Sus scrofa: one gene and its partners. The protein of the gene in region 4 binds, or shares a complex with, the protein of the main gene of each other region. Links are inferred from orthologs where the notes say so. Each region holds a gene or a part of one and is shown on either strand. Other genes may lie near its edges.

Region 1 (3,500 bases), on a different chromosome or scaffold from region 4:
TGGCAGGCCAGGAAGAGGAGGAAGCCCTGGAGGGGCTGGAGGTGATGGATGTTTTCCTCCGGTTCTCAGGGCTCCACCTTTTCCGGGCCGTGGAGCCAGGGCTGGTGCAGAAGTTCTCCCTGCGTGACTGCAGCCCTCGGCTCAGCGAGGAACTCTACCACCGCTGCCGCCTCAGCAACCTGGAGGGGCTGGGGGGGCGCGCCCAGCTCGCCATGGCTCTGTTTGAGCAGGAGCAGGCCAACAGCACCTAGTCCACCCCGGGGCCCCGCCACCGCCAGCCACCTAGTTCCCTTTCCGGCCTCAGCCCCAGGAAGGCCAGGCGAGATGGACGGACAGATGGAGAGCTTGTTGCTGTATTTTTTTTAATAAGAAAATGTTATTAAAAGTGTCTTCTGCCAAACCGTTTTTAGGTCTAGGGCAAATGGAGTGAGGCGGCTCTGCGGGAGGGGTGAGGAACTGCCCAGAGGGACCCACGGCCTGCCCCTTCCTCCTCCCTCCCCAGTTGCCAGTGACCACACGAGTGCCATCAGATGAATGACCTTTAATCCGGTCCCCACCTCGGCCGCAAGGCATCAGGAGTGACGGCAGTGCCCGAGGTGACAGGGCAGGGGCCCAGGGGCCCACAGCAGCGCTCGTGCCCAGGGCTCCTAGGTGTTGCGCACAACCAGCGACTGCTCCAGCTCCTGCCTGCGCTGCTGGATCTTTAGAGAGGGGAGCAGGAGCCGGGTTACCGTGTTCCCGGTGAGTGACAGGACCACCCCCCCCACCCCCGGCCCTGGAGGCGCAGGGGGAGCAGGGAGCCTCCCCTGCGTGGTGACGGGGAGGGTGGAGTGGCTGTAGAGGCTGAGCAGGGAGTGGGGGAGGGTGCGGCTGGAGGTGTCCTGGGCCCTCCTCACCTTGCAGTAGAAGTAGCGGCTGACAGCTTCCTGGGACCAGGGCTGGTGGTAGAACTCAGCCCGCCGCTCCTCCTCAGGGTTGCCTGCCACGTCTGTCATCACCTGGGAGGGAGCAGCGGGTCAGCCCTGAGCCCGGATCCCCTCCAGCCCCTGGGCACAACGTTTACTGTCTTCCCAATGTGCTTGTCTTCCATCCAGTGCTCCCTGAGTCCCCTTCACCTTGAGGTCCCGGCTCTGGGAGCGGAGGAGGTCTTGGATGTAGCCTTTGGGGTCTCTGGAGAAGCTTAGCATGAAGTCCCTCTGGATCTTGAGCTGGTTTATGGATTCAATCGTCTCGTGGATCTACAGGTAGAAAGACAGATGCTTTCACCTGGCCTTGCTGATGTGGGCGAGGATGGGAGGGGGAAGGGAGGCGGGGGGAGGGGTTTGCTGCTGTTCCTTTGAAGGGCTGTCCCTCAGGTCCCCTGGGGCTGGACTGGGCCTCTGCAGTCCCAGGGAAGGGGGGATGGGCGGAGCTCCAAGTAGCAAGGCAAGGCCCACCTCCCCTTCTTCTCTCCATAGGCCCGTGTTCTCGTCTGTTTTGTCTGTGCTTGTGTCATTTTGGGGTTGATGTCCCACTCCAGCTCTGGGCTCTGGCCCCACCTTACTGTCCAGAGCGCTGATCTCCTGCTGGTTGGCTGTGGACAGGAGGAAGCTGCTCATCTGTCCCTTCAGTGGCTCCTCTACCTCCACGTCAATGTCGTAGCACGCTGTCTTCTTCTGGTCCGACGGGTCCACGCTGCCAGGGAAGTCCAGCCCTTGGTGTCCTTGCTGCCCCACAGAGGCCAAGGGGAGGGAAGGGGCCCCGAGTGGGAGGCAGCGGGAGGGACTGAGAGGCCAGCCCCCCCCCCCGCCCCCACAATGACTCCCTGTTCTGAGAGCGAACTGGGGCCTCACCTGATGACGTGGTTGATGACAATGGGGTCAGGGGGCAACAGCAGAGCTGTGAGGCGCTGGGGGATCTCAGAAAACTTCAGCCGGGGACAATCAAAAATCTGAAGTAGGAGAGAGAGATCACTCGTGCCGCATGTTTGGAAGAGCACACATTCCCTTCTGAAAAGGCCTGGGGAAGCCAGAGCCCACGGGGCTGGGCAGGGGCTGCCAGTGGGGCGGGTCCATGCAGCGCATGGTTGACAGCGCCAAGGCCTGGGCTGCTGGCCTGGGTAGAAATCCTGCTTCCACCACTTCCTGTGCAGCTGAGCAACTTACCCAACACCTCGGGCCTCAGTTGCTTCATCTCTAGAAAGGGGATGATAATAGCGCCCATCTCACGGGGTGGCTGTGAGGTTAGAGTCAGCACACATAACGGGCTCGGACCAGTGCCTGGCACATGGTAAGTGCTCAATAAACACTGACTTTATTTTTACCACTCAGGTTTATCTGCTGTTTTTCTTTAAAAATTATTGTTGGGGTTCCCATCAAGGCACCGCGGGAACAAATCTGACTAGGAACCATGAGGTTGCAGGTTCGATCCCCGGCCTTGCTCAGTGGGTTAAGGATCTGGCATTGCCGTGAGCTGTGGTGCAGGTTGCAGATGCGGCTCGGATCCTGCGTTGCTGTGGCTGTGGTGTAGGCCGGCGGCTATAGCTCTGATTTGACCCCTAGCCTGGGAACCTCCATATGCTGTGGGTGCCCTAAAAAGTAAAAATATAAAAATAAATAAATAAAATTTAAAATAAATAAATAAAAATTATTGTTAATGATCATCTCCACTTTGGTAGAATTTTGTCAGGTCACTTCCACAGCAGTTTGTCAGCACCCTCCTTACTGTAAGAGAAGGAATAAGGCTCAAAATAGCAAAGTCATTTATCCAGAGTCCGGAGCCAAGACTGGAACCTGGGGATCCTCACTCCAAGTACCAAGGATATGCTCCCCAAAGCTGCTGGATTCGCAGGGCTCCGATTCCCCAGCCTGGGTGGGCTAAGACGGCTGTGGCACGGAGCGGGGCGAGGAAGAGCCTGGACTCTGGCTCTGGCAGCCGGACCAGGACTGTTTACCGTTTCTGATGCAGTCAGGAGGGGAGAGGTGCTGTTACCTTAGTGGAGGCACTTCCCCTCCCGGAAACTGCCTGCTCCCCGTGGCCCTGGGTTCGAGAGAGAGGGTACCTGCTGGAAATACTTGTCCCCGTTGATGTACTCCTTGTCGTGAGAGTCCTGCAGCCTGTTGGTCTTCACGTACTGCCACAGGGCCTGGACAATGGCTGAGCGGCTCTGCGTGTGCAGCCCCAGCAGCCGGGCCAGGCGGGGATCCAGTTTGAACTGGGGGGGCTGGGGAAAGGTGACCATGCAAGTTAGACAAAGGCGGGCGTGGAGGGAGCGCAGGGCCAGGCAGCTTGGGACGTAGGGGGGGGATGTGGTGGTCGGGCTCCGTGGAAACATGCTTTCGGAGCGGGGGTGGGAGGTGTGAGGAGCCTGGGGCCCCCCTGTCTGGTCACCCTGTCCCGGGAGGGGGCTGGGGTGTCTGGGGGCACGGACCTGGTAGTCCAGCATGAGGAGCAGCGTGCAGCGCACGCTCAGGTCCCCCGGCCTCTTCACCTGGAACCCGTCCGTCTCCTGAGTTGTGGGC
Region 2 (4,068 bases), on a different chromosome or scaffold from region 4:
CTGAGATCAGGGTTCTGCCTTGTTGGGTTTTCCCAGAACCAGCCTTTGCCATCTGGACCACGGTTTCCCAAATGCAAAGTGAAGGTGTGGATAAGGGGACTTCCTAGGGTCCTCTCAGTTGTGACTCCAGTTTGGTGATTACAGCTGCCTCCAGATGACAGGAGAGGGACGACACACTCACTGCAATTGCAGATGCCCTCCCAAGGCTGCACACCCAACTGGGGAGGGGGCACAGTGGGTGCTGCTAAGGCTGGCCGGTCTCGCTGAATATGGTGCCTGTTTGTCAAGGGCAAGGGGTCTGGAGGCTGTCCACTCAATGCTGTCAGAGGAGCTACTGGATATCTGGAGACAGCACTCTGATCTTGAACCTTTCCCAGAACTCCCACGGTCTGATGATTGCTAAGCCAGGCCCCTGAAAGCACAGCCTCTCCTTTCTCCCATCTGGTCTCTATAAAATGTGTCTCTGGGCAAATGTTCTCACTCAACAGGGCTGAAAGAGAAGACTGCAGTTAGCTTTCAGATCTTAGAGATCATCTAATCTAAGCATCTCCTTAGAGCCACGAGAAAAGTGACATGGAGGCAGAGCTAGAACCAGGCCTCCTGACGTTCTGCCCACCTAGCCATATGCTGCTTCTCAATTTGCTCCACCTAATAATAAATGCAAGCTGGATTTTTTTTTTTTTTTTTTTTTTTTTTCCCCCACCCATGGCATGCAGAAATTCCCAGGTCAGGGATTGAACCTGAGCCACAGCTGTAACCAGAGCCATGGCAGTGACAATGCTGGATCCTTGACCTGCTGGGCCACCAGGAAACTTCTGCAACCTGGATTTTCAAAAGTGTATCTCCAACTCAGAGCCAAGGCCAAAGTGACTGCTCTTCCTGTCCATTAGATCACATAAAGGTTTCTTTAAACAATCTGCTCATTATCACAGACTGAAACTCCTCTCCTGCCTTTGTATCCCACATTTGAGCAGGTACCTACCACTCCATGAGGACCATTCTGAGCTATGGCAGGGACTGGTTCCTCCCCAGCACAGCTAGCTTTCAAGGGTAGCATTTCTGTGATGACAGGGAAAATGTATTACATCCTGTCCCTTGTGTTTTATAAAAACTGGTAAAAAATGGAAACACTAGAGTTCTGTTGCTACTGACAACAATGGTCTCATAACTCAATAAAACTCAGAGGAGCCAAGGATTACAGGGTGTCCTGAAAGCCCCAGTGTGACCATTATAAGACTTAATTCATTCACACCATGTTCAACTGTGAAGGAAAAAACCCAAACATTGTGAAGAAAAAAAAAAGGGGGGGAGTTCCCCTTGTGGCTCAGCGATGACAAACCCAGCTAGTATCCATGAGGTTTCGGGCTCGATCCCTGGCCCCACTCGGTGGGTAAAGGATCCACCACTGCGGTGAGCTGTGGTGTAGGTCGAAGACGAGACTTGGATCTAGTGTTGCTGTGGCTGTGGCATAGGCCTGTGGCTGCAGTTCTAATTCAATCCCTAGCCTAGGAACTTCTACATGCGCAGGTACAGCCTGGGGGAAAAGAAAAGGATGAAATGTTTAATATGGAAAACCGTCAGCATTTGTTATCTGCTTTAACACCTCCGGACTTCCACTTACCTCCTTACATGTGGGGGACACTACTGCTTGGTAGTTGCACATCTGAATTGTATATGCATAATTTAAAAATACATGCGTGTAAGTGTGTGTATACACACACTAACTGGGGACTGCCAAAAAGGATTAGTTTGAGGCAATCTGGAAAAACTTAATATACTTTGTATGAACTACCAATAAAGGACCAGTTGTAGGGTTTTCCTAAAGTTAGTCATCCAGCTGACTCTACGAACTGCTGCCACTTTAGCTAAGGATTAAAGATCGTTAGGCTCTTTAAAAAAAAAGTCAGTCCACGACATTCAAAGTGTCACCTGCTTCCGAAACTGCTGATAGATCTAACTCACAAACTGGAGCCTTATCCATCCAAAAGCAAGCATCTTCCTCCCAACCTGTTTCCTCACCATTAATTAAAGGTCAAAACACCTCCCTGCCCACCTCGAAGTCAATGAACGCAGTGCGGGTGAGTCCTCACTAAGCTGGGTGCTTCGAACCTGCGATTTCAGGGTCCCAGTTGCAGCAACGGGAAAGGATGCATGTGGGGGGGGTCCAACATCTTCCCCCCAAGGTGTGGCAGGGGACGACTAAAAACCCCGCTTCTGTGCTTCCCGATGGAGTTTTGGAACTCATCATGGAACCAGGGGCCACCAGGACGCCCCAGCCCCGGCATCCGGGCGCGTCCTGGACCCTGCGACACGGGTGGGTAAAACCACAGTAGAGCGCGGGGCGGGACCTGATCGATCACCCCCTCGCCCGACCACGCCCCGCCCACCGCGCCCGCCCGCCCGCCGCGATGAATGGAGACGCGCATTCCCGCCGCGCAGGCCCGCCCCGAGGCTCCCGCAGGGGCAGGGCCGGCTGGGGCCCGGAGGACGAGGATGCGCCGTGGGCTACCTCAGAGCCGATCATGTAGAATTCGCCGTCGTCCTCCAACTGGAACTTGACGGGCTTCTGCCCGAAAGTCTTGCTCAGCGCCATCATCATCATTGCGGCGGCGGAGACAGGCAGCCAAAGCCCGGCGTGGCTGCGAGTGTTGGGAGGGGTCAGGCAGGGCCGGAGCGCGCCAAGCCCAGGGAAGCCGGAGTTAGAGGCGAAGGGCGGGCGGGACCGAGTGCTCGCGCCGCCGCCGGGCTTCTCCGCCACCGCCGCAGACTAGGCCGCCCTCACTGCGCAGGCGCGGGCGTTGACGCTAACGCGCGCGCCGCCGCCGCCGCCGCCTAAACAAAAGGTCGGGGCGCGCCCCCGCGGGTCCCTTAAAGAAGCCTCAACCTGTGTCCCTTCCTCCCAGGCAAGCGGGGCGGGTTGGGGGCAGAATCAAGGAACACTTTTTTTGTGTTTTGTTTTGGTTTTTTTTGTCTTTTTAGGGCCGTACCCGCGGCATATGGAGGTTCCCAGGCTAGGAGTCTAATTAGAGCTGCAGCTGCCGGTCTACACCAGAGCCACAGCAACGCGGGATCTGAGCCGCGTCTGCGACTTACACCTCAGCTCACGCAATACCGGATCCTTAACCCACTGAGCGAGTCCAGGGATTGAACTGGCAACCTCATGGTTCCTAGTCAGATTCCTTGCCCCTGGGCCACGAAAGGAACTCCCCAAGGGACACTTCTCATGGACAGAAATACAACGGCGGCCCTGACTCAGGCTGCGGCTTTCCCAGTCTCACCGCTGGGACTGGAACTCAGCCCAGGGGAGGAGAAGCAAATTGAGGCCTGAAAGCCGGGAAGGGGCCCGGAGTACCTGTGACTCCGTTTCCCCACCTGGAGAACGCAGTGCAGCTGAGCAGATGAGAGGGTTCCCAGAACAGATAACCCAGTTCTGGGCCCACAGCTGTTACTGCAACTTCAGAGATGGAGGTGGTGAGGACGAAGGCTCCTGGGCTTGGCAGGATTCCAAAGCCCAGGCGGTTGGCTTGCCTGGTGCTTGGGATGAGTGTTGGAGGGGAGGGGACCATCTACAGACCATCTCCGTTCCTTCCTTAACTCTGGGCTTTGTGCCTTCCACCAGCCCAGTGCATTAAAATTATACAGCCCTGCCCTGGGGTGCTTAGAACCAGAGTGGGGCCTGCATCAAAGCATCCATGTATCTGGTGGAACAGTGCAGTGGGTCAAAAACGGCCTCCTGCTGACAATTTCCTGTGGTTCCATCTAACAAACTGCAGCTGTGATGGCTGCAGCTCTGAAGAAGATTCCCAGAGGCTGGGATGAAGGCAAGGAGACCTTGGAGAGTTAGGACTGGTCAGTCCTCTTAGCCAGTTTTGTCCTATGTTCTGACAGTAGCAGGACAGGGGCTGGGGCATAGTAGGATCAGAAAAAGTGACCACCGCTTAGTGGAGAAGCAGGGAAGCAGGAAACATTACAAAGCCACTCAAGGGGAGTTCCCGTCATGGTGCAGCAGAAACAAATCTGACTAGGAACCATGAGGTTGCGGGTTCAATCCCTGGCTTTGCACAATGG
Region 3 (3,130 bases), on a different chromosome or scaffold from region 4:
CTTAGCCAGTGTATCCTATGTGGGATGATGAAATGGCTGCCCCAGTGTTCCCTGGATGCCTTGTAGGCCCACTTGTTAGACCAGTGAGGGCCCTGGCTCCTTGGTAATTAAGAGTTAACCTTGTTCCACGCTCCCAGTTACGGTTACTGGTGACCTGATTTCCAGATCATCTTGTTTTTTCCAGATTATGATGATGGCTTTTCAATGAAGCATACAGCCACTGCCCGTTTCCAGAGAAACCACCGCCTCATCAGTGAAATCCTCAGTGAGAGTGTGGTGCCAGACGTCCGGTCTGTTGTCACAACAGCTAGAATGCAGGTCCTCAAACGACAGGTCCAGTCCTTAATGGTTCATCAGGTAAAGTCACAGACCATTTGGTACAATAAAATGTGCCTAGGCCACAGGTGCCAGGCGACCTGATTCTGTACCATGCGTCCGTGTGCCTCTTAAATTTATGTTCAGTCTGACCTGTTCCTGATTCGGGGAAGAGGCTTGAGGGAGTAGCTAAGTTTCCCAGAGATTTAATAAGTTTGTCATTAAAACGGTGACAGAGCCTTTTGGCAGAGAAAGTATTTGCATTAAGAATTTTGAGACATCCTAATAACTTCTACGGCTGTCATAAATATTTTTTTCCATAGAAATCCCTGAGGCCAGAAACCATATGCCTCAACATGTACCTCTCAGTCGTTCCTCTCCACTGCATTTCACACTTTTTAAACCTTAGCTGGACACATGTGATAAATAATTTAAATGAAAAATTCAAAACATCTATCCCACTATGAGAAAGTATGGACTCTTAAAAAAAGAAGATTTTCTGTGTTTGATATTTGCTCTCGAGAAGATACTCGGTAGTAACAAAGCCTGGTCATATGTTTTACAGCGAAAGCTGGAAGCTGAACTTCTTCAAATAGAGGAGCGACATCAGGAAAAGAAGAGGAAATTCCTGGAAAGCACAGATTCATTTAATAATGAACTTAAAAGGGTATCAGTTTTAATATGTTAATTATGCTTTTATCACTGTGTTTTTTCCGAAAAGAGTGTTTTTAAGGAACGTTGTTCACTTTGAAACAGTGTTAACTTTGCTATAACTGGTAAGATGTTTGCACGGTAAAATAATTCCCATTTTCTGGCAAAACTACAATATGTTTGAAATATCATGTAGTGTACACGTATGTACTGGGCCTTGGACTCTAGAACCCTCTGATGTTTTAATGTACACTCAGGCAGTCATAAATTATTTTCATTTTTTTTGCAATTTTTTCATTAAAGGTCTTCATTAGCTGTAGTTCACAATTTGTACTTTTTTTTTTGTCTTTTCTAGGGCTGTACCCACAACATATGGAGGTTCCCAGGCTAGGGGTCTAATCGGAGCTGTTGCTGCCTGGCCTACACCACAGCCACAGCAACGCAGGATCCGAGCCGCGTCTATGACCTACATCACAGCTCACGGCAGCACTGGATCCTTAACCCGCTGAGCGAGGCCAGGGATTGAACCTGCAACCTCATGTTCCTAGTCGGATTCATTAACCACTGAGCCACGACGGGAACTCCGTACTTTGTTTTAAGACATTAAAAGTAATGTTTGGCAGCCTGAAATATAAAATGGGAGGTTTGTATATAAAACAGTACTTTTTGGGGGTTGGTTTTTTTGTTGGTCTTTTTAGGGCCGCACCCACAGCATATGGAAGTTCCCAGGCTAGGGGTCGAATCGGAGCTGCAGCTGCTGGCCTACACCACAGCCACAGCAACTCGGGATCCAAGCCACATCTGCCACCTACACTGAAGCGCCTGGCAATGCCGGATCCTTAACCCACTGACCAAGGCCAGGGAACAAACCTGTGTCCTCATGGATGTTGGATTTGTTTCCACTGAGCCACAGCAGGAACTCCCTCTCCTGTGATCCTTGATGTCACATGGCTGCGAGGGCAACTTTTTCTGCAGACCTGAGAGCTTCAGAGAAGACCTCCAGCTTCTTTTTTTCTGCCTTATACGTGTGTACAGTTCTTAGCCAAGGAAACTCACTTTTGAGACAGTGTCTCTGGTTCAGAGATTATGAGGAAAGAACATCACTAAGAGAGCTTCTTGGGTTTTGTTTTCTATTAGTTGTGTGGTTTGAAAGTAGAAGTGGATATGGAAAAAATTGCAGCTGAAATTGCACAGGCCGAGGAACAGGCTCGCAAAAGGCAGGAGGAAAGGGAGAAAGAGGCAGCCGAGCAAGCCGAGCGCAGCCAGAGCAGTATCGTTCCTGAGGAAGAGCAAGCAGCTAATAAGACGGAAGAAAAGAAGGAAGACGAAAGCATGCCAGTGGAGACAGGTAACCTGCCAGGTCACACCACCATGAAGGTCAACCCAGGGTCTCTCCCGCTGTCTTTAATTCCGCTTTCCCTTTCTCGGTGCTGCTCGGACATCGCTCTGTTAATCTTGCCTCTTGAGTTCTTCTCCATCTGACCCTCCCACTTCTTTGCACATCTTAACCTCTCACAGTAGATTCACTTAAACCGATGGTTTTGGTTCAAAACAGCAGTGATGTGTTGTCTTTAGTGTTGCTGTTTGAGGTCTTTGCCTGGATTGATTCGTGTCATTCCCTGGCTTGAGAATATGAAGCGTGATGCTATAAACGGTTAAGGATACAGACAGATCTAGGTCTACTGCTGCTGCACCACTGCTAGCACTGTGACTTTGGGGAAATTATTTAGTCTTAGTTTCCTCATTTCTGAGCATTCTAGCTCCTGTATCTGAGAGAATTCTAAAGGATAAATAAGAAAATGTACATAAAAGCATATAACTGGATTTGATGTGGTGTAAACACTCAAGATTTTAACCTTTTTGCGGAAGTTATTCAAACAAGATGTGGTCATTGCTCTTAAGTCATCTTTGGTGTCTTAGAACAGGCTTGGGCAAATAAAACCTGCAGCCAAATCCTGCCTGCCACCTGTTTTTGTAAATTAAGTTTTGTTGGAATCATTTGTTTACATATTGTCTGTGGCTGCTCTGGGGCTACAGCAGTAGAGTTGGGTAGTTTCGGCAGAGACTGCCTGGCCCACAAAACCCAAAATATATTGACTAGCCTTCGCAGTAAGCAGTAAGTGTTTGTTGACTCCCTCCTGGAGGAATTCAGACTTCCAGATCT
Region 4 (4,056 bases):
GTACTGCTCAGCACTTCTATTTACATCAGCAGTGCTAAATGCCCAATGGTGAGAGGGGAGCCAATCAGATGGCAGATTAGATGTCAACTCAGAGGCAGCTGTCTGGAGACTATTACAGCCAGTTTACCTCCACAATTCAAATTCCAAACCTTGCAAAGGAGATCAAGTCAGTCTTCAGGCTCAGCCTACGAGCAAGAAACAGCAAGAGTGCAGGACACCTCCTAACAACGCTGCAGCTCTTGGGTGTCAGGAAATTTAAAATCCAAATAAATCCTATCCAAAAAGATCAATTTTCACTGGTCCGCTATTTCCCTGGATTCGCTGGATAAAATGTATGCCGAATCCACGATCAAAATAAGTTCAATCTAGCCGGAATGTGTTCCTTCAACACAGTCTATCTGTTGAAGGTGACTCCTTTCGAGCAGCCTGCAAGCCAAAAAATGGACTTCCCGGCTATTCTTAGGAATGAATCGATTTATTTTAGGATATTTTACCTCCACATCGCTGTAAACGTGGGTATTATTTTTGCTACTACACAAACTCAAAGCCCGCATCCGATATCTCCGAATGGCTGGGCACAACTACGAAACACACTCGGCTGCCACAAAGCTAACCTATTTTTCCTGCCTTCACCTAATAAGCTAAGAGGGAACGTAGTGTGGCCGGAGGTAGGACAAAGTTCCTCATTCTTTTCCCAGTTCTAGCTCATTGTTGGCGCTAACCGAGAAGAGGGGGTCAATCTTCCTTCCCCGACCGTACCGGCCGGGAGCGCCTATTTTGTTGAAAAAGCTGCCCGAACGGTCCCCGGCGCCCACACGGCTTCCCGGCGGCGCGGTCCCCGACTCCCGCACGCGCGGCTCGGCGCCTGGGGTGGGGTGGCCGGGCGGGTGCTGCGCGACCGGCAACCGCGGCGCCCGTCCCGGGCCTCGGCCAGACCCCCTCCCCAGGCCCCGGGCCCCGCGCCGCGCAGTCGGACCCCGCGCGCTGCCCGGCCTCGGAAGGAGGCAGCCGCGAGTTAAAATGGCTTTGGGCGTCTCGCCCCCGCCTCCCCCGACAGAAGACGCAGAAAAAGTACGCGGAAAGAAAGAAACTAGGGCTCGCGGCGCGCCGCGAGGCCGCCGCGGCGGAAGCAGGCCCGACCGGCGCGGGGGTTACCTGGGATCTGCCCATGGTCGGGCCGGGGGTGCCGGGGCTCATCGCCGGGTGGCTCCTTTGTTGCGCGGCCGCCCAGGCCGGGCTGGCAGCGGCGTACTGGGCGCCCATGTCCTTGCCCAAGCCCATGCCCGCGGCCGCCTGCTGGCCGCCCGCCGCCGCCCCCGCCGCCGCCGCCTGGGACTGGGGCTGCGACGGCGGCGGCGGCGGCGGCGGCGCGCTGGGGCTGCTGTAGTCGGGGTAGCTGCCGCCGTAGCTCCTCATCATGGGGCTGGGCGAGGTGAGCAGCTGGTTGAGGGTCGGGGTGGCCCCCGACGGGTGCTGGTTCTGCCCGGCGAAGCGCTGGAAGCCCCCCGCCGCCGCGCCGGCGGCCGCCTTGCTGAGGCTCGCGGCCCCGCCGCCCCCGGGGCCCATCATCATGCCGCCGCCCTGCTGCCGGGGGGAGCTCAGCACCCCGTACCCCGAGGACGAGCCCCCATAGCCGCCGCCGCCGCCTCCTGCTGCTGCTGCCGCCGCCGCGGCCGCCGCCGCCACAGCTCCCGCTCCTGCTCCTCCTCCTCCTCCTCCTCCTCCGCTGCCTCCTCCTCCTCCTCCTCCTCCTCCTCCTCCTCCTCCTCCGCCACCGCCGCCGCCGCCGCCGCCGCCCGCGCTGGGCCGGCTGTAGCCCGGATAATGGTTGTACTGGCTGTTGGGGTACCCTTCGTGGGAGTTCTGCAGGGGGTCCATGCTGTTGGGGGCTCCGGCGGTGGCTGAGGCGGAGTGCATCATCCCCATCCCGGGGCTTTGTTGTCCGCCATGTTGATCAAAGCAAGGCCCAGCGCGGCCGCCGGGGCCGCCGCTAGCAGGGGCAGCGCTGCCATAGTAATTATTAAACTCCGAGACGGCCGCCGGGCCGCCGCCACTGCTGCCGCCCCCGGGCACAGCGACCGGCGGCGGCTGCGCGCCCAGGGCGCCCAGGCCCGGCTGCTCGTAGCGGCCGCCTGCCGGCTCCCCCATCTTGGGCGGCGCGTCGTCCTCGTCGCCCGGCTTGCTCAGCAGAGGCTGGCCCGGGGGGTCGGCCTGGCTGCCCGCGGCACTGTCCTTGGCGCCTCCATGTTGCGGCTGCTCCATGTCGGGACCGGGCTGAGCCGTGCCGCCGCCCGCGCCGCTGAGGCTGTTGTTGTTGGAAATGGGATGTTGCTGCTGCTGCTGCTGTTGCTGCTGCTGCTGCTGGAACTGGTTTAGCTGCTGCTGTAGTGCGTGGTGGTGGTGGTGGAGGTGGTGGGCATGGTGGTGGTGGTGGTGGGCATGGTGGTGGTGGTGGTGCTGCTGGTGGGGCGGTGCGGCGGGGGCTTCGCCAACGGTTTTCAGTTTGTGGTTGGGGAGCAGCCCCGTCTCCATGGCCGAGCCCGGGCCCAACGAGGAGGAAGAGGAGGACGCCGCCGCGGAGGAGGAGGAGGACAGCGCGGCGGCGCTTCCACCCTCCTTCAGAGCCGCCTCGGAGCCGCCGCTCTTGGCGCTGTTAGTGCTGGCGGCGGCGGCCGCCGCGCTCGCGTTATGGGCCATGTTCAGTTCGTGACGGGGGTGCAGGGGGTGGTGGTGCACATTATTCAGGCCGCCGCCGTCGCCGCCGCCCCCCAGCATGGGTCCCGGTGCCGCCGCCGCCGCCGCCGCGCCGCGCGCCCCCGCCTCCAGGTCCCGGGCCCCGAGCGCCGGCCGCGGCCCGGGGGGCGCCCGCCGCTCGCCGCTGCCCGCCCGCGCCCGCGCCGCCGCTGCTGCCCGCGCGGCCATGATCGCCGCGGCGTGGCGAGGCCGGGCGGGGGGCGGGGGGAGACAATAAAACCCACTTTTTAGTCTGCGGCCCCTCCTGTGCGCATCCACACGCCCCGACGGGAATCGAGCGAGCCCCCTCCCCCTCCACAGGCCCCGCCGGAGCCGAACCGGGAGTCACGCCTTACGGTCTGGGCCTGTTCCCGCTGTGTGATTTCATGGTGAAAGTTTTTAGTTCAGGTTTAAATGAAACTTTTCTCTTTTCCTCTCTAACCCGGATATGGGTAAATACACGACTCACTGAGCCTATCGGGCCCAGCATGGCATGAGAGGGAGCCGAGCGAGCCCGAGCAACTATTATCCACTTCTCTCTGATTACTCGTGCGCACTCGCAAAACGCGGACTGGACTCGGCCCGGGCCGCCGCCGCCCGCGGCGCCCTCCGCCCGCCTGCCCGCCCGGGCGCAGCCTCGCGGGCACCGGCGGCCCCGGGCCGGGGGCTCGGGCCGCTCGGCCGGCGCCGGGCGCGCGGCGGCGTGGGGCGACGGGAGGCTGCACTTTCCCCTCGTGCCTCCGTCTCCTTGCCAACCGGGCGTTCGCGTGTTTGTTTTCACGTCTAAAAGGAACGATTCAAAGGTGGAAAACGAGTCTGACGAGCAGACAAAAGAGGGAGAAGGGCTGGGGAACAAAGTTGTCTGTTGGCCTCAAAGGTTACGAGGAGCCGACGGAGAAAGAAGATATTTGGGCAATCTGTGCAAAAGCACTGCCTCTCCCAAGAGTTATGTAATTTTTCAGCATGTTAGCCTCTCTGCCTTGATTTCGGGCCGTCAATGTAATTCCCACAACTTCTTTAAACTGCATAATTAGGAAAGAGTTTAAGTGAAGGTTAGCCGCATTCCAGAAGCGCTGTGCCCTGTACACAGCAGGTACTCAATAAATGCTTAGGTTGATTGCACCTGCCCCAAAAATAACGTTGATATAACTTTTTTTAAGGCATCTTATATGTGTACGTAGGCTTATCAATGAAAACATAAAGTAATCCCAAAGGAGCATTTTTCCTTCCCATGCACTTGTCTGTCCTCGCTCTGAAGAGAAAGTCTTCAAATACGTAGCGTGGTGCGTTATGCTCCCAGCAACTTGCACGTGGAAATTTAAC
Region 5 (4,007 bases), on a different chromosome or scaffold from region 4:
TTAAGGGAAAGGAGAGAGAGACTCAGAAGGCACGCAGAGAAAATGCTAATGTCGTTCAGCCCCGTTTCATTGTCAGGAGGGACACGTGAGGATAAAAACATAGCTCTCCAAACCTTTCTCCCTGCTCCCCTCCTCCCAGCACCGCCATCTATCCCTTCGGCCTGAAGTGTCTCTGCGCTTTGTTCTAATTTATCCCATGCATAATTTATTCATGTGTGTATTGTTTCCTGATAAGCAACTTTTAAAAACAAATGAAATATACAAGATGATCTATTAAACAAAGTGTTTTTAAAAATAAAGGCCGATGATGTAGATCTCCCGGTAACAACGTGCGTGCCCCTGCGCTAGAACTTTAAAAGCCGTCCAAGGCACAGAAGGCTGGGCTGGTAGGGGTATTGTTTATACCTCCTTATCCCCAGGGAAAGGGGTCAAGATGCAAAAAGGAGCAGCTAATTATAAATGACCACTCAACTCCCACCTAGAAAAAGCAGGCTGGATGTCAAGGGTATGCTAAGATGTAGGTGTGTGTGACGACACAAAATTACAAATACATGGCATTGCAACTGTTTCTAATTATACAAAGTACAAGTGTAATAATTCAGAACTAATTCCAATAACCAGCCTGCTTCTCTCTCCCTTCCCCCACTTCTAACCCCACCCTATACAGATACCCTCCCCAAACATGTAGTCTTCTGCTGTCCAAAAACAAAAAACAAAAAACCGGAGCCGGTAGTAAAGAGCTAAAGAGCGTAGAGATATTGCCCCCGCCAGCGTATAAACGGGCCCAGGGGTAACTAGGGTACTGCTTTCCCAAAAGGAAACAAACCTGGCACACATGTGAAATAGATCCTCTAACTTGAGTTTACCAGGTGGCATCAGCTCGGCTACGCGATTTGGGCTGGAAATGTGAAAACTGCAAATCAGCTGTGGGTTCGGTAAAAACTCACAGCATCAGCGGTGTAGCAGCGCGAGGGACCGGGAGAGAGGATGCGGTGAAGTTACGCCCATTTATTCTGCCATAAAACATTTTCTATCTTGGGTGAAACGCTGTAGCGTTCAAGTGTAGTGTATCAGAGCTTCCAAGCGAGAACTGAAGCCGAGAGCTGCTCTCTAATCAGCCTCAGCTCCCAATGTCCTCTTAGGGTTAATACATATTTATACATTTAAAACTCCAAGATCTGGGACATTCCTAACCTTTTCTCCTACTACCGATAGGAGATAAGCTGGTGCAAACACGTCCCATTCTCCCCGCGAGTTCCTTCGTGTTAAGAACTCCCCTGCCGCCCCCCTCCCCCAGTGCGAACGTGGCTTTCAACTCCAAGAGGAGCCTCGGGTGCGAACGTGGATGCGCTGAGTTGAAAGAACCTAGGTGGGCATCCTCCAGGCACTGGCGAGAGAATTCGCCATGAAATGCCCTCCCCCGCACCTCCCCCTCCCCTTGCCCGCGGCTTCCAGCCTAGCTGCGAAGTCATAATCCCAGGGGTGCAAGCCCCCACCCACGTCGCGCTGCGATCCGGAGGGAGTGCCCCTCTGCCAACATTACTGCCAAGAGCACCCCTTTTAGAGCGACGCTAGTTTTCCGAAGCCACCCCCGGCTCCGCGATCGCTAGCGGACTTGGCGGCTTAACAGTTCCACGGATTGGAAGGAAGGAAGGAAGCCAGGATAAAAAGGAGGGGGAAGGAAGGCGGGCAGGAATTGGCTGTCGGACCTGGGGACTGGCCCCCGCGTGTCCTCGCCCAGCCCGCCCCCCCTCCGTCCCGGATCTGGGCGTCCGTTCAAAGTCTCCCGGCTGTGGCCAGAGGCACCTGCCCCTAGCTCTGGCCGAGAGCAGACGCTACCCGCTCGGGCGGGGAGCCCCAGGCTGCCTCTCGCCAGCCTCGACTATTCACCCAGAGGAGGCAAGAACACCATTCATAAGACCTGCAGCTTCCCAGTCTCCAAATCAACCCCAAGTTAACCCGAGTCGTTAATTTATTACAGGCAGTTCCCCACAAACAACACCCGGAGACACACCGGCGACCGCCCGAAGCGCAGTCAAGCTCTGGGGGCTGCCCCGTCAGGAAAGCCCCGGGCAACCACCTGGGCCCCAGGGCTCCCGGGACCCGGTGCTCCCCCTGCGGTCCTCCCAACTCCGGAAGGTTTGCACAAACTCCCCGCAAGCGATCAGAAGGCGGAGAGCGCCCTGAAAACTCCGGAGCTGCAGCGGTCCGCTCACCCCCGCCGACCTAGCATCGGGGCGGGGGCTGCGGGCTCCAGAAGCACCGGGCTCAGCCAAGTGCACCCAGGCGGCCCCAGCCTGGCTCTCGCCCCCAGCTGAGCCGCCCCCCGCGCCGCGCTCACCGCCCGGAGAAGCTGGGCACTCTGGGGACCGTGCTGTCCCTGAGCTGCCCAGGATCCCCTCGCTGTAGAGCACTCGAGCGCCTGGCTCCCCTGCCAGTAACCCCTCTCCCTCAGTCCGCCAATTTAGAAGAACACAAATGTACCAATTTTCCTCTTCTTAATTGCCTCTCCTGACATTTCTGCGCGCCCGGGTTAAAAAAAAAAAAAAAATGAAGAAGTAAGAGCTGAAAGAAAAGAGAGAAGCCCCACCGCGGCTGTAGGCGCCTGCAAGCGCAGTGCATTGGCAGCGCTCGGCACGCAGAAGGCGCCTTTTTTTTCATATTGAAACCACGAGGAAAATGTACATTTTTTAGTCTTACTTACGCTTTCAGGGGGTTGTGAATGACAGTCGCCATTTTGCTACAATGTAACAGAATATTGTCTGTCTCAGAGTTCTAAAGGTTCGCTCAGGGGAAGCGGCGAGCCAATCAGAGCACGGGATACCGGCCCGCTGGCCAATCGGCGCGGCTGGTCGCCAGGTGGGCGGGGCCTGCACGGTGGTAGTTATTAGGGGAGCTGTCAAAGCCCAGAGGTCACTCCCTTTTGTAGAGCCCGAGAGCAAGCAGGTCTTAAAGGGGCAGTACCGCGCGTAGAGCTCCTTTTCGGATGAGGGAAAGTGGAGACGCACGAGAGTATTCTAGTTTGGTTTGAATCCTTACTTTCTAAACAACTGCAGAGAGTTGCGCTCCTGGACAGAAATATTTAAGTCCTGGACAGAAAATATTTAAGTATTGCAAGCAAACCGTTGAACCCTATTCATTAGCTTTTGGCTTTACTGTTACGTTTTTAATCCCCCAAAGGACAATTCCCCTCGTTCCAGTGCAAAAATTGGAAGGGTGCCGTTTCGTCTAATTACTACACGTGTCCTGCCGCTTACTAATGCTCTGGGTCCTGCGGCTTTTTAATATTCTCATTCCTGAAGTGTTGTCTTTATCTCGGCCACCTTCCTCTGATTTCTTGGAACTGGTGCCGCCGTTCCTGGCGACTCCAGGACAGCAACTCCCCTCCCCCTGGAATGTCTCAATGTCAGGCTCGTTCCCTCCAGCAGCCAGGCTTTCCTTACTTAATACGCGGTGGTCACTCAGGCAATTGCCCACTGCCACCTCCTCTGTCCTCGCACAAACCAGAAACTTCGGAAATTAAATGGTCAGAGAGCTGGAGAGCCAACTGGGGCCTGGCGCTCTGACCTTTAGGCTTAGGGGAGGGGTGGTTTAAGAGAACTTTTGCAAACGCTTTCTGCTCTTCGGAAAGAGTAACGAGACAAAGTTGTGGAACCTAGATGGGTGTTGCCAGAGTCCCTTTCGGGGAGTAGCATACGCGATTCCGGCGTCACCTTTCATTGATTAGATAAAAAGGTGAAAAGAATTTGCTAATGAATAATCAGATGTGACCTGAGGCGTTCAGAGAATGTGTCTGCTTCAAGTCCGTGCGAACTCCTCACTGGCGAAGCCCTGACAAAACTGAGAGACTTCTGTGAAGCCAGGCTTCCACTGAGGAGCCAGGCAGCTCAGGGTGGATGAAATCGCACTAAATCATGAATAGGGGCCTCGTTAGCATACAGAAATCTGGCTACTATCCAAAGTTGTTTAATGAGGTCAAATAGCTAAGATAGTGGGGGAGGGGTGAA
Region 6 (2,476 bases), on a different chromosome or scaffold from region 4:
CCTCATGGGTACTAGTCAGAGTCTTTTATTTTTTTTATTTAATAATGAACTAGTCAGAGTCTTAACCTGCTGAGCCACAATGAGAGCTCCCCAAATATGATATATTCTTTTTTTTTTTTTTGTCTTTTTGCTATTTCTTTGGGCTGCTCCCACGACATATGGAGGTTCCCAGGCTAGGGGTCGAATTGGAACTGTAGCCACTGGCCTACGCCAGAGCCACAGCAACACCAAATTCAAGCCGCGTCTGCAACCTACACCACAGCTCACGGCAACACCGGATCATTAACCCACTGAGCAAGGGCAGGGACCGAACCCGTAACCTCATGGTTCCTAGTCGGATTCGTTAACCACTGAGCCACGACGGGAACTCCCCCCAAATACAATATATTCTTATTTTTTGGACTGTTTTTAAAAAATGGCTACTAAAATTTTTGAAATGACATACGTGGCTCCCATTACACTCCTGTTGGACAGCACTGCCAGGAGCCAGCATCCTGGGCCTCACCCTTGACCCTCTCCTTCTTACCTTGCACATCCAAAGAGTGTCCACATTCTGTCAGTCCGAACTCTGAGAAGCTGCCAGTTCCACCCCCCCAGTATCCGCTCCTCTGTCAAATCCAGGTCACAGTAGAGACCACAGTAGCCTCTCCAGTCCACTCTCCGCTCTGCAGCCCAAGCGAGCTTCCCAAACTCAGATCCCACAGCATCTGCCCATGGCCTTTGGCTTTGCCTGGCTTCCCCATGGGCCATGCACCCTCTCTCCCGCTTTGTCTCATGAGTTCTTACTCATTTCAGCTTGAAGGGTCCTCAGAGGTCCTTCATGATCCCTGAGCCACATCAGGTCCTCCTTTGACAGAACTCCCAACACTTTGGTTTTTTTGTTTGTTTGTTTGTTTGTTTGTTTGTCTTTTTTGCCTTTTCTAGGGCTGCTCCCACGGCATATGGAGGTTCCCAGGCTAGGGGTCAAATCGGAGCTGTAGCCACCAGCCTACGCCAGAGCCACAGCAATGTGGGATCCGAGCCACATCTGCAACCTACACCACAGCTCACAGCAACACCGGATCCTTAACCCACTGAGCAAGGGCAGGGATCGGACCCGAAACCTCATGGTTCCTAGTCGGATTTGTTAACCACTGAGCCACGAGGGGAACTCCTTAGGAACTCCCAACACTTTGTGGCGACCTCCTGCTTGTCTCGGCTTCCAGACTGTCCCCACTCATGGAGGCAGGGACTAGGTCCAGACGTCTGTCCACTTCAGGCACACGGGAGGCCTGGGGCAACTGGTGACTGGCATGCTCCCAGCTCTGAGTTAATTTCAGACCGTCAGCCTCCTGTTGTTCTGACCCTTGCTTCTATCTCTTTGGGGGCACCCCCTCCAGTGGGTGTCCTCCTTGTCCTGTCATCACCTTGCTCTCCTCTCTGTGTGGCTGACACTCCTCAGATACAGTTTGCATCTGCAGCTCTCTGCTCTGGAACCAATCTGCCTACTGCCTTCTTCTTCTTCTTCTTTTTTTTTTTAATTTTTTGGCTATCCCGCGGCATTTAGAGTTCCTGGGCCGGAGGTCAGATCTAAGCCATTTGTGACCTACACTGCAGCTGTGGCAATGCTGGATCCTTAACCCACTGTGCCGCGCCAGGGATTGAACCTGCATCCCAATGCTCCAGAGACACCCCTGATCCTGCTGTGCCACAGCGGGAACTCCTGCCTGCCTCCTCCTGTTTGCCCCTTTCTCGCTACCCCATCCACACTACTACCCGGGACTACAGAAAGAGCCTGCTGGCAAAGTCCCCTTGCGTCCAGCTCTTACCCTGATCTCCAAAGACTCATGTCTGACATAATCTTCCCAAACGTGCCTGTGGCAGTCACACCATCTTTCTCCAAGCAGTCAGTGTCCCGCCCTGGCCTATAAGACCACTATGACCTCATCCCAGCCAGCCTCTCCAGCTTCCTCTCCTCCGCTCCCAGATTTGTGTCCTGATGTCGCATCCGCCTTTCCAGGAGCACTGACTTCCCTTTCATCAAAATAAATGCTTGTTGAATGAATGAATGAGGAGGCAGGCAAGGCGGCAGGGGCCGTCTGGATCTGCCCCTTCCCCACATTCGGTGCTAGGCCAAGCCCTTCCCTCTCACCAGTGAGGCCAGGATGGAGCCACCAATCCAGGGGCTGAACTTGCGCTCCATGGTGCTGTTGCTGGCGATGAGCTTCAGTCTCATGCTCTGAGGGGAAAGAGGGGCTGGGGGAAGCCGACACCTGGGTTCTGGGAAGGGTCAGGGCTGGGGGTGGGGAGCACTGGGAAGCCACAGCAGGCAGCCATCTGCTCTGGTGGCCAGAACACTCCCTCCACGCGTGGGAAGGAGGAAGGACTCAGTCCTGAAGGACTAAGCCAGGACTGGAGTCCAAGGCCCTGGCCACGCATGGGCTCCTACCGGTGGAGTCTTCTGGGAAAGTTCTCGATTGAGCCTGTCAGTGAAGCC
Region 7 (3,088 bases), on a different chromosome or scaffold from region 4:
TGGCCCCGGGTAGCGGCTGGGTGTCTGCACGGGGGTGGGGGGATGGCCAGGGGGTTGGCCCACTGCATAGTCACGTGGGTAACGGTGTGGTGGTTGGGGCATCATGTGTAATGGGCTTGGGTCGCAGGGAACCAGAGCGTGGAGACCCCTCTGTGGAAGGCGGTTGCCATGGCATCGTGGCTGGGAGGCTGGGGTTGCCACGTGCCCGCGGTTCACAGGGCGGGCTGGCCATCCTGCTGTGGGTAATGGAATGCAGCTGCTCAGCGCAGTGGTTAACAGAATGTGGCTGCCCCGGTGTTGTGGGTGGTGGAAAGGGGTTGCCACAGCACTGTGGGTAATGGAATGCGGTTGCCATGGTGTTCTGGGGAGCAGAGTGTGGTTGCCATGGTGGCTGGGTAGGAGACTGGTGGCCACGGCAGCACTGCCTGAGGGACGGGCACTGGGCACCGGGGCTGGGTGGGGTCAGCCTGTGGGCCTTGTGAGCCAGGGGTAGGGGCTGAGCCATTTCACTTCCAGGGGTCAGTAGCCACCAGGGGCACAACGACCCCTAACCGCATCTCTGCCCCTCGGCCCCCAGGACACCCCTCGTGTTTACAGTTCACGGTGAACATGACGGCGGCCGTGCGAACCTACCGTTGGCAGTGCATCGAGTGCAAGTCCTGCAGCCTGTGTGGCACCTCCGAGAACGACGTGAGTGCCCACCCCCCTCCCCGGGACACGCCCCCGGAGCCGCCTCCCTCCAGCACCTCCGGCTTTGCCAGTTGGGTCTAAAGCCTTTCCTGAAGCCCCCTCCCTGGTGAACCCAGTAACCTGTACCATGATTATTAGTTAGTGTCCATTAGTTGAGCCTGGCACTTACTACTCTTCACTCTCCGACTCCTCCCAACCACCCTGAGGTAGAGGGAGGGAGCTCAGAGAGGGGAGCAGACTTGCCCAAGGTCACCCGGCTAAGAAGATGGCACAGCTGGGACCTGACACCGCATCCATTGCTTCTGACCGCCCCAGTGTCATTTTCAGTGTGCCATAGAACCTTAGAAAACCCAAACGACAAACCGCAAACTGACAGTCCTCAGGGGCGTTTCACTCACAGGGTTTTGCCAAGATGACCTCCTCAGAGCCCTCTGTCCTGGAAGGGACCACCTCCCCCAGCCCCTTTGACCTGTCCCCTGCCCCAGCCCCCCCACCCCGGTTTCTGGTACCCGTGCCCCCAGGGTGCCAGCTGGGCGGGTCTCACCCCCCAGGACCAGCTGCTGTTTTGTGACGACTGTGATCGGGGTTACCACATGTACTGCCTGAGTCCCCCCATGGCGGAGCCCCCAGAAGGTGAGCGAAGAGGAGGCCTGGGGGGGTGGGGGAGGGTTGGCAGGTGGACTTCCTGCTGGGGAAGATGGTGCCCGCCGGTGGTGGGCGGGGGTGGGGGCAGCCGTGCCCAGACCCAGGTCTTACTCCCTGTCCTCGGGCCACCCTACAGGGAGCTGGAGTTGTCACCTCTGTCTTCGGCACCTGAAAGAGAAGGCCTCTGCCTACATCACCCTCACCTAGGCCTGCTCTGGCTCACCTGGACCTCTGGGGTGGTGCTTGCCTACCTGAGTCTCCTCCCGGAGCTCCTCCACTCTCTCCCCATCCTTAATGCCCCACAGCGGGAGGGGCGGGCGAGCCTGAGGGGGGCGGGGCCACCCCCTCCCCTCCGTGCAAGTGGAATGCTTGCCCTGTGGGTTGGTGGGCCCAGCTGGGCCCTCTCCTTCCTCCCTCCTTCCCCACCCCTTGGCAAATGGGCACCAGGGGCTTCTGCTCCCCTCAAAGCCATACCCCGCCTCTGGGCGGGCACGAGGGGTGGTGGATGCCAGCTGGGGGCACGGACATAGCCTTTTTCTAAAGAAAAAGTCAAAAAGTTAAAAAAAAAAAAGAAATTAATATATACAAAGAGTCCTATAAGGCCTGGCTGGGTGGAGGGGGGTTGCCGAGCGCATCTCCTGGGCACCAGTCTATGCCAGCTTCCTGCCTGGCGGCCCCTCCCTCCCAGTCTGCGGCACTGCAGCTGTCCCACCTCCCCACCCAAGGTGGGCACCATTCCCTCCTTGTACGCAGGGCAGGTGGTGTGGTGTTGGCCCCCCACCCCCTTGGTGCCCACCGTGGATACTGCATGATGTGAACCATGGTTTTGAGCTCTGTTCCCGCTCCCTCCCCAGAGCCCGGCCCGTGCCCACTCCGTGCTGCCATGGCTGGCCGCCGGTGGGGCAAGGCGGGCCCCTGCCCAGCGCCTGCTGGAACGAGAAGCACAGACTCTGCAAAGGACTAGATTTTTCCCCGCCCCAATTCCCTACCGGCCAGGCCGGGCCGCCCCCTGCCACCCTCGCTGGCCATTTTCGGGGTCTCGAGGGGGCGTGGTTGTTTCTTGTGGTTGTGTTTGTTGTTTGGGTTTTAAAAAAAAGGGAAAATGAGACTGCAAGTGGGGGAGGTGATGGGTTTGGGGGGGTCTCCTCCAATCCAGGCGTGCCCCCTCCTTGTAAACGAGTCTCCTTTATTGCCTGCCTCTGCTGTGAATTAACTTGTTCTGTGTATTAAACTGGGCCTGACCCCTCTGCCCACGTCTGCCTCGTCCTCCAGGCCGGTTTGGGGCGTCACCAAAACTGGAGGTGGGGCCTCACTGGGGGAGAAGCAACTGAGGTTAACAGCTGGAGCTGGCCCCTACCTCTGGCTCCCCTCTGCACCCCGCCTTTCTCTGGCTTTGTCCCGCTCCTCCCTGCCTGGTCGGAAAGGAAAAGAGGGGGGGATGGGGTGGAGGGGGCTCCCACCCAGCCAGCTGTGGTTGCCCTGGCAACGGACTGCTGCAGCTGCAGTGGGAAGCAGCGAGGAGGGAGGCGGGAAGCCGGGGACTGGGGGAAGGGAAGGGATGGAAAGATGAAGACTGAGCCCGGCCCCGCTCCTCCCCTCCTGGGGCTTGGCACAGGGCAGGGGTGCCAGGAGCGCCACGGCCTCGGCCCACTCATGGCCTGGCGCCCCTGAGCCTGACGTGTGGCAAAGAGGAGAGGGGAAGGGGCAAAGGAGAGAAAGACAGATCCAGGGACATTAGGAGAAAAAAAGATTT

The links.
Region 1: ARID1B (region 4) and SMARCD3 share a complex: the UniProt entries of both Homo sapiens proteins name them as parts of the neuron-specific chromatin remodeling complex. The link is inferred for Sus scrofa from reciprocal best matches to the Homo sapiens genes ARID1B and SMARCD3.
Region 2: ARID1B (region 4) and SMARCB1 share a complex: the UniProt entries of both Homo sapiens proteins name them as parts of the neuron-specific chromatin remodeling complex. The link is inferred for Sus scrofa from reciprocal best matches to the Homo sapiens genes ARID1B and SMARCB1.
Region 3: ARID1B (region 4) and SMARCE1 share a complex: the UniProt entries of both Homo sapiens proteins name them as parts of the neuron-specific chromatin remodeling complex. The link is inferred for Sus scrofa from reciprocal best matches to the Homo sapiens genes ARID1B and SMARCE1.
Region 5: ARID1B (region 4) and DPF3 share a complex: the UniProt entries of both Homo sapiens proteins name them as parts of the neuron-specific chromatin remodeling complex. The link is inferred for Sus scrofa from reciprocal best matches to the Homo sapiens genes ARID1B and DPF3.
Region 6: ARID1B (region 4) and ACTL6B share a complex: the UniProt entries of both Homo sapiens proteins name them as parts of the neuron-specific chromatin remodeling complex. The link is inferred for Sus scrofa from reciprocal best matches to the Homo sapiens genes ARID1B and ACTL6B.
Region 7: ARID1B (region 4) and DPF1 share a complex: the UniProt entries of both Homo sapiens proteins name them as parts of the neuron-specific chromatin remodeling complex. The link is inferred for Sus scrofa from reciprocal best matches to the Homo sapiens genes ARID1B and DPF1.

Annotation. Positions count from the first base shown.
Region 1 is NC_010460.4:5,985,966-5,989,465, reverse strand, and holds the end of SMARCD3 (SWI/SNF-related matrix-associated actin-dependent regulator of chromatin subfamily D member 3), read right to left. Parts: coding exon 3,410-3,500; intron 3,203-3,409; coding exon 3,041-3,202; intron 1,931-3,040; coding exon 1,833-1,930; intron 1,675-1,832; coding exon 1,437-1,674; intron 1,239-1,436; coding exon 1,116-1,238; intron 999-1,115; coding exon 897-998; intron 702-896; coding exon 648-701; 3' UTR 346-647; downstream 1-345. UniProt on the Homo sapiens protein: Involved in transcriptional activation and repression of select genes by chromatin remodeling (alteration of DNA-nucleosome topology).
Region 2 is NC_010456.5:49,903,244-49,907,311, forward strand, and holds the start of SMARCB1 (SWI/SNF-related matrix-associated actin-dependent regulator of chromatin subfamily B member 1), read right to left. Parts: upstream 2,801-4,068; 5' UTR 2,603-2,800; coding exon 2,510-2,602; intron 1-2,509.
Region 3 is NC_010454.4:21,801,410-21,804,539, forward strand, and holds part of SMARCE1 (SWI/SNF-related matrix-associated actin-dependent regulator of chromatin subfamily E member 1), read left to right. Parts: intron 1-184; coding exon 185-357; intron 358-880; coding exon 881-982; intron 983-2,103; coding exon 2,104-2,314; intron 2,315-3,130. UniProt on the Homo sapiens protein: Involved in transcriptional activation and repression of select genes by chromatin remodeling (alteration of DNA-nucleosome topology).
Region 4 is NC_010443.5:10,224,581-10,228,636, forward strand, and holds the start of ARID1B (AT-rich interactive domain-containing protein 1B), read right to left. Parts: upstream 2,801-4,056; 5' UTR 2,776-2,800; coding exon 1,156-2,775; intron 1-1,155. UniProt on the Homo sapiens protein: Involved in transcriptional activation and repression of select genes by chromatin remodeling (alteration of DNA-nucleosome topology).
Region 5 is NC_010449.5:96,251,555-96,255,561, forward strand, and holds the start of DPF3 (zinc finger protein DPF3), read right to left. Parts: upstream 2,801-4,007; 5' UTR 2,737-2,800; coding exon 2,705-2,736; intron 2,552-2,704; exon of another isoform or gene 1,982-2,551; intron 1,370-1,981; exon of another isoform or gene 1,284-1,369; intron 1-1,283. UniProt on the Homo sapiens protein: Belongs to the neuron-specific chromatin remodeling complex (nBAF complex).
Region 6 is NC_010445.4:8,556,299-8,558,774, forward strand, and holds part of ACTL6B (actin-like protein 6B), read right to left. Parts: coding exon 2,429-2,476; intron 2,219-2,428; coding exon 2,132-2,218; intron 1-2,131. UniProt on the Homo sapiens protein: Involved in transcriptional activation and repression of select genes by chromatin remodeling (alteration of DNA-nucleosome topology).
Region 7 is NC_010448.4:47,141,506-47,144,593, reverse strand, and holds the end of DPF1 (zinc finger protein neuro-d4), read left to right. Parts: intron 1-577; coding exon 578-690; intron 691-1,211; coding exon 1,212-1,323; intron 1,324-1,471; coding exon 1,472-1,542; 3' UTR 1,543-2,588; downstream 2,589-3,088. UniProt on the Homo sapiens protein: May have an important role in developing neurons by participating in regulation of cell survival, possibly as a neurospecific transcription factor. Belongs to the neuron-specific chromatin remodeling complex (nBAF complex).